2 linked regions of the Coturnix japonica genome follow. The protein of the gene in region 1 interacts with the protein of each later gene in a biochemical or structural test. Links are inferred from orthologs where the notes say so. Each region holds a gene or a part of one and is shown on either strand. Other genes may lie near its edges.

Evidence for each region.
Region 2: the proteins of HIP1R (region 1) and CLTB form a complex in vitro, tested with the Homo sapiens proteins (2 studies listed by BioGRID). The link is inferred for Coturnix japonica from reciprocal best matches to the Homo sapiens genes HIP1R and CLTB.

Annotation. Positions count from the first base shown.
Region 1 is NC_029530.1:4,488,001-4,491,397, reverse strand, and holds the end of HIP1R (huntingtin-interacting protein 1-related protein), read left to right. Parts: coding exon 1-24; intron 25-157; coding exon 158-220; intron 221-683; coding exon 684-784; intron 785-1,025; coding exon 1,026-1,131; intron 1,132-1,256; coding exon 1,257-1,380; intron 1,381-1,479; coding exon 1,480-1,541; intron 1,542-1,686; coding exon 1,687-1,953; 3' UTR 1,954-1,975; coding exon of another isoform or gene 1,976-2,023; 3' UTR 2,024-2,831; downstream 2,832-3,397. UniProt on the Homo sapiens protein: Component of clathrin-coated pits and vesicles, that may link the endocytic machinery to the actin cytoskeleton. Binds 3-phosphoinositides (via ENTH domain).
Region 2 is NC_029528.1:12,197,723-12,201,470, reverse strand, and holds the start of CLTB (clathrin light chain B), read right to left. Parts: upstream 2,597-3,748; 5' UTR 2,516-2,596; coding exon 2,332-2,515; intron 745-2,331; coding exon 698-744; intron 1-697. Other genes in the region: FAF2 (FAS-associated factor 2), read left to right, coding at 3,095-3,157. UniProt on the Homo sapiens protein: Clathrin is the major protein of the polyhedral coat of coated pits and vesicles.

The DNA.
Region 1 (3,397 bases):
AACTCCTGCACGGACTTAATGAAGGTCAGTGCTGCAAGAGCTGAGCTTCTTCTCAGGGGATCAGAAACCACACAGACATCACTTAAAACCACTAGCAAAATCAGACCTTCTGTATAAAATCCCATCCGCCCCCTAAACTTGTTCTTCCCCATTCCAGGCTATTAGGCTTCTTGTAATGACCTCAACGAACTTACAGAAGGAGATTGTGGAGAGCGGCCGGGTAAGTCCTCCCTTCCACTCATCTCTGTGCTCTTGATGTGAAATACAGAATTTTCTACAATTTGTAGGAGAAAAACAAACAAACAAAACACAGCTGAATTGTGCACTTTTTATACCCAGGCCAAATTTGGAGCACCAAGCTTGTAATGTTTGGGTTTAAGCAAGTCAGTGAGAGCATCCTGAAGGGCACAGAAGTGCTGCCAGTCCCTGGACTTATGGGTTTATATATAGTGTTCCGTATTGCTAGATGTGGTATTTTTAATTGATTTTTTTAATACGATGTATGGATTTTTATATAGTTCCATAGAAGCATAGAACTGTTTGAGTTGGAAAGGACCCACAAAGGTCACCTAGTCCAACTCCCCTGTAAAAAACAGGGACACCTACAGCTCGATTGTGGATTTATTATAAGCATACATAGTGGAAAGAAGTTAAAGTAGGCTGTAATATTCTCATAACAACAGGGGGCAGCAACAACTCAGGAGTTTTATGCCAAGAACTCCCGCTGGACAGAAGGGCTGATCTCTGCCTCCAAGGCCGTGGGCTGGGGAGCCACACAGCTCGTGTAGGTACCGCAGCACCGCATACACACAGAGCTGGGCTGGGGGTGGTTGGGGTCAGGGCACAACATCCCTGAGCTGTGAGAGTGGAAAGTGTGGGGTTCGTTTGGATGTTGATGTCTGAATGCCATCAGTTGATGATGACTCAAAGCCGATTCAGTCAGTGCTGATTTCTAAGGGCACGGTGGGATGCACGTACCCCACACTTGTAGTGCATCTCTAACGTGATCTCCCTTCCAACTGCAGGGAGTCCGCAGACAGAGTTGTCCTGCAGACAGGCAAATATGAAGAGCTGATCGTCTGCTCCCATGAAATTGCTGCCAGCACGGCCCAGCTGGTGGCTGCCTCCAAGGTGAGCTCCCTGCTTTTTACATCCACCTGGTGCGATGTGTCCCTGCTCTCAGCAGGGTTTGGCCGCTTTGTTGGCATCGGCCGTTCTCATTTGGGGACCTGCAGCCATCAGAGTGCTCGTTACAGGTGAAAGCAGAGAAGAGCAGCAGGAACTTGGGCAAGCTGCAGGAGTGCTCCCGCAACGTCAATGAGATGGCAGCCAATGTGGTGGCCTCCACCAGGTCAGGGCAGGAGCAGATTGAGGATAAAGGTGAGGTTTGGTAGAGCAGAAAGGAAAGGGTGAGGAGGAAAAACCAAAACCCTCTATTTCCATTGTGGCTTGGCAAACACTCCCTGCTTTTCTCCACAGACACCATGGACTTCTCGGGCATGTCCCTCATCAAGCTGAAGAAGGAGGAAATGGAGACACAGGTAAAGCCTCATAGAATCAGTAAGGTTGGAAGAGCTGTAAGATCACCGAGCCCAAATGCAGCCCACCCACCACCTCTCTCTGAGTGCCTCGTGTCCCTGAGGCAGACCAGGGATGTGAGGACCCAGGTGGGCTCTTGTGGTGCAGGTGAAGGTGCTGGAGCTGGAGAAGCGCCTTGAGGGTGAACGGGTGCGTCTGGGTGAGCTGAGGAAGCAGCACTACGCCTTGGCTGGGCCCTACAATGCAGAGGAGGATGGGGAGACACGGCCAGCACCAGCCCCCAGGAGAGGCATCCTCAAGAAGCCGGCCCTCGCCCAGAAACCCAGCCACCTTCCAGGGCCAGGAGAGGAGGTAGTAGGGGCAGCAGGATGGGAGCACGGTGCTGGGGACATGGCTGTGCCACAGGAGCTGTGAGCTGTGTCCCCTCTCGTTGCAGCCTGAGCGTGACACCAGCCTGCACCGGGCACACGCCGTCAACTTCTAGTGGGACGGACGGGGCCAGGCCTCCGCCATCAGAGCTCTTACATCTGTGTTTTAAACAGATCGCCTTGCTTCTGGCGTGCCTTCATGCGCGGGGTTCTCCTCCTCGCCCGGCCTGAGAAACTGGAATTATTTTTCTTTTTCTTTCAACCAAAAACTTGATTTTTGTTCTATTTTTTTCCCCCTCAGTCCCTGGCCATAGAGCAGTTGGGCTCCCAGCCCCGCAGCTCGCTTGGTTTAATTTAATTTGGGACCTATTTGGGTTGATTTATTTTGGGTTTTTTAACTCTCTCAGCACTAGAGGCCTCCAGTAAATGTAGCTGTACTGCACTGCTCGGACCCTTCTGAAGAACGCGAGTTGTTTTTGAAGTAGGAAACTGTTGGGCTTTTCTTGCACCTGTATTTTTTATTTAACTTCCCCTTCTTGGAGTGTTTTGACCTCGTTTTGGTGTGGGATCAGCTCTCAGCAAAGAGGGGAACGTCTCTTTAACTGGGCTTTCAGAAGGGAGAAAGCAGTTCCTGGCACACACTGGCAATAAGGATACAAGCATCTTTTTATTTCCTTTTCTATGTTTTATTACTACAGCAACAGCAGAGGAGCAGTTGCATTATGTTTTATATTTAAGATGATTAGCAGAATTAAATGTAAATGTGGCCTGCAGGAGCCCAGGGCCGTTAGATGTGGCGAATTCTGCAGCAATAAGGAAACTGATGTGAGGAGACAAGGGGGGGCAGAGGAAACACAGCTGGCTCATCTTCTCTTTGAACTGCTACTGGATGTAGATTATTAAAGCAGCAATATTTAAACTGTGTGCAGTGCTCTGTCAGCAGCATTGTTGGCACTAAGGGCGTGGGGCTTCAAGATGAAGGGCTACAGGAGAGCAGGGGGCTGGGGATGCTGCTGGGAGCCAAGGGTGAGTGGAGTTGTAGCATCACAGGGCTTTGAAAAGGCCTCTGAGAGCACCAAGTCCAAACCCCAGCCCATCCCCACACACTGACCCCCATCCCTCAGCACCCCTAGGGATGGTGACCCCACCACCTGGCAATACTAACAAATACATATCTGTATACAGAAGGTGAGCCAAACCTTCCCAGTTCTGCACCACAAACCTCAGTGCAGGGTTATGAGCAGCCATTGGGTGCCACACACACAGCAGCCCAGCACTGCGCTTGGTTTCGTTTCTGCAACCTGTTCTCTACCTACAAGGAAATGCTTCCTGCAGCAGTTTCTACTCTATTTATAGGTGGTGATAAAGGTGTGTTTGCTGAGAGGCTGATGTCATCCTGACTCTCTTGGCAGTACCTTTCATCAGGGAAATACTGATTAGCCAGGAATGCTAAGTTTAAACCTCAGGACCATCAGTCTAGCCCTAGCTCC
Region 2 (3,748 bases), on another chromosome or scaffold:
GCCACCTTAGGCTGGGCCACAATAGACAGAAAGAGCCCAGCTGAGTCAGGGCCCGTAAGTACACTGCTCTCTGTTTTGCCACCAGCCCACAAGCGGGACCCTCTTGTGGTTCTCCAAGCTGAGCAGCCTGCACAGCTCCCACCAGGCCCAGCATCACGCTGTGTGCCACATCAACACCTTTCCTAAACCCTTCTGCTGGCTGACATGGAGCTAAGCAAGAGGATTACGGCTCTCCTCCAAGATCCACAATCTAATTAAGTGTATCCCATCTCTGATCTGATGTGATTATCATCCTGTAGACTACACACAGACAAAGCACAGGGGGCTTGTCAGGAGCTGGCACAGCTTCTCCTGTACCCTGCACAGCTTGGCTACATGGTCCCAGAAGGAGATGAGACCCACACAGGTGTCCCCCTGAAACACCCTCAGCTGTGGGGAATGCAAGTTTAATGAGAGACGCTGCTGGACTTGGTGGCAAGGCTACAGCCATGTGTTAGCAGAGGAGGCGCCTCTGGAAACCCTGTCCTGGATCTGGACTCAGTCAGGAGATGCTCTCAAACATCCCTGACAGCCTCCAAGAGATTTCCAGGCTGGAAAAAGAGGAGTTTGTAGAGAACAGAGGGTTTGCAATCTTCCCCCCACACCCACCTAATCCTCCTTGGTACCACCAGGCCAGAACATGGGCCTGAGCTCTCACCTGAAAAACATCTCCATTGACAGTGGCTCCTCCATTCTGGAAACCAGCTAGAAAAAATAAGGAAGAAAAACACAACTGTGACAACTGAAATGATCCTGGAGGAGCTGGGGTTCACGAGACAGAAACAAGCCAGTTCTTTGGGGATGCAGATGTGCCATTCCCAACCCAATACTACTATCCACAACAGACTCACATATATGGGTCCCAGACTAAAGATCCTATGCTGGTCCAAGTAATGGACATCAGCAGAGCTGTGTGCTGGTGTGCTGGAGCTCAAGTTAGGGCTAGCAAGGTTTCAGTATCCAGAGGAGGACACATTCCCAACATACTTGTCCCTGTCCAGTTGTAGCAGGACCCCAGATCCCCTTTGCTTCATACAGACTGTTCAGGAAAGCGATGGGAAGAGGACAGTGTGCTGCTCTACAGTCCAGAGCCATTAACACAACAAACCCTCCCCGAGCTGCTGCTGCAGAGAATGCGTGGGGACTCCTGCCATTCCTGAGGCAGGATCTGGGCCAGGCTGTGGCCTCCCGTCCTTGGAGGGATTCAGCCAGCACCTCTTTCCCAGACAAAACTTCCAGGGCACTCTATGTCTTTATAGTGTTTGCACTGCTTTTTCTTTTTAATCTTTTCTGAAGATTAGGGAAACTCCCCCAGGCACAGGGCTGGACATCATGCTCTGGCTGTAAGAAAACAACCAACTTCAGCTCTGTAAAAGGCAGCAGCTGCCTCCCTCAGCACACAGATGGGTGACCCAGAAGCTGTCAGCCAAGTGCCCAGCAGAGGCAGAGCTGCTCTATGCCTGCGACAGGAATGCAGCACCGCCAGGGACAAAGCTCACAGCAACAGTGCAGCACAATCCTTCTCCCTCTCAGCCCCAAGAGCTGCATACTGATGCCTTGCATGTGGCCCTCTGCCACTGGGTAAAGAAGCTTTGATGAAAGACTTCAGGCCCTGAGCTCTCTCCAATGATGACCATGCTCAAACACGGGGCCTCTGCTGGCCTGCTGGCACATACAGCCATAGCACTAGAGTACCTCAAGGTAGCACTGTCCCCACGGTGCTCACCCCGCAGCTTCAACTACATCCAGCTCCATGACTGCATTTAGCATGGAGGCTGGCAGCAGCTCCCTAGGCCCAGATCTGACTCTGTAAGTAGAGCTGAAACCACCATTCTACAGACAGGCCAAAGAGGCCCTGGGGGCCTCCCTGCATTGCGGGCAGAAGCAAGAGGACAGTGTTGTATCTCTGTCCTTGCGGATAACAGACCACTGAGCTCCTATTATCTACTGAAGCCCCTAAAAGCAGGGCTGGGGCTCATATGGAGGCTTGAGATCAGGATTAATGCCTTCTACCTGCTGGGCCTAGGACCGTGATGTTCACAATGGAAACGCCTTCCATTTTACACCCCAAAGCGCTCTCCTGCCTATGAGTGCAGCCATGAGGCCACCCAGCCGAACACGGATGTCTCATCCCACCTCAGCGACCCCCCAACCTCGGGGGAACCTCGAATACACCGGAGGGCCCCCCCACCCTTTGGTGGGGCAAAGCCCCGGGGCCCAGCCCCCCTTTATACCCCATCTCCCACCCCGTGCTCACGGCGGAGGCCCCGCCCGGTGCTGCTCGGCGCTCACCCGGCTCCGTTGGGGCGCCCTGCCCTGCGGGGGCGGAGGCCGAGTCTCCGTCGTTGGGCCCGAAGCCTTCGTCGTTCTCGATGCCCGCGATCTCACTTTCCTGCTGGGCCAGGAAGGCGGCGGCCGGATCCTCCTCGGTCCCGGCGCCCTCGGACGAGGAGAAGAAGCCGAAGTCGTCGGCCATGACCCGCCCGCTCGGTTCGGCCCGGCCGGAGCTGTCACTGCGGCGGCGGCGGGCGGGGCCACGGCGCTGACATCACGGAGGGGCGGCCCCGTTTCCCTCCTCCCCTTTCCCCCCTCCCACAACTCAGCATCATCTCATCGCCCCTCACGCTGTAGGAGCTGGGGCTGCCATTATAGTGCCCGCACTCTGTGCCGGCCGAGGGGTCGGCTGGGCTCTGAACACTCGGGGCACACACCGCTGGCGGCCGCCATCTTGGAGCGGGCTCCGCCTCCGCCATCTTGGGTGGGGCCACCGCCCGCGGGCTGTTGAGCGGGTGTTACCGGCCATCTCCGGAAATAGCCGAATGGCTCCTTCGGGAATCTTCGTGCGCCAATAGGGAGGATCGAGCACGCGGTCACTGTGAATGGAGTTCGGCTATTTCCGGACAGCTCCGAGAGTGCTTCGGCAATCTCCGGAAAGTACTCGTACATTTCCGGTCACGATCGACGAACGGCAGCCGGCCGCTCAGCCGAGCGGAAGTGCGAGCGGGCTGCGTCACTTCCGGTGGGTGACGGAGCGGCGGGTCAGAGGCGGAGGAAAATGGCGGCGCCTGAGGAGCGGGAGCTGACGGCGGAACAGACCGAGAAGCTGCTACAATTCCAGGTGCTGTGCAGGGGACACCGGCCCGTCCTGCCGCCTCCGGGCTGCTGCCGGCCTGCGTTAGGGCTGGGGGTTCATACGGGCCCTGCCTGGAGAGAGTGCGGCTGTACCGGGGTGCGGGGCCCAGGCTGGGCTGGAGGCGAGAGGGGAGCGGCCTGTGCTCGGTGTCCCGGTGTTCGGTACGGGACAAGTGTGAGACTCCATTGGGGATGTGTTAGTCCGGGGCTTTGTTCAGGGCTGTGCCCTCAGTGCTTCGTTAGCAAGGCAGGAAATGAGCGCTGAGTGAACACAGGCCCGGCCGTTTGAATCAGGTGAGCTGCAAACGGCCCTTTGTTCATAGCGGGGAGTGACGAGGCCTTCCTGGCACAGTCAATTAGTCCGTGAGTTTCTATGGAGTCCAGCCCATGAACCAGCCGTATCTCACACATCCAGTGTGGTGCTGTCCGCTGGGGATTGCGGTGATCTCATCCCACTGCATGACGTGAGCTAGTCCCAACCTCTGCTCTGCAGGGGACCCAAAAGAGGCAACTGACAGATGTGTTTGTTGGGGTGAAAACTGCCCTAAAGCTGAACTGCTGCGGCTGCTCGGGGGAA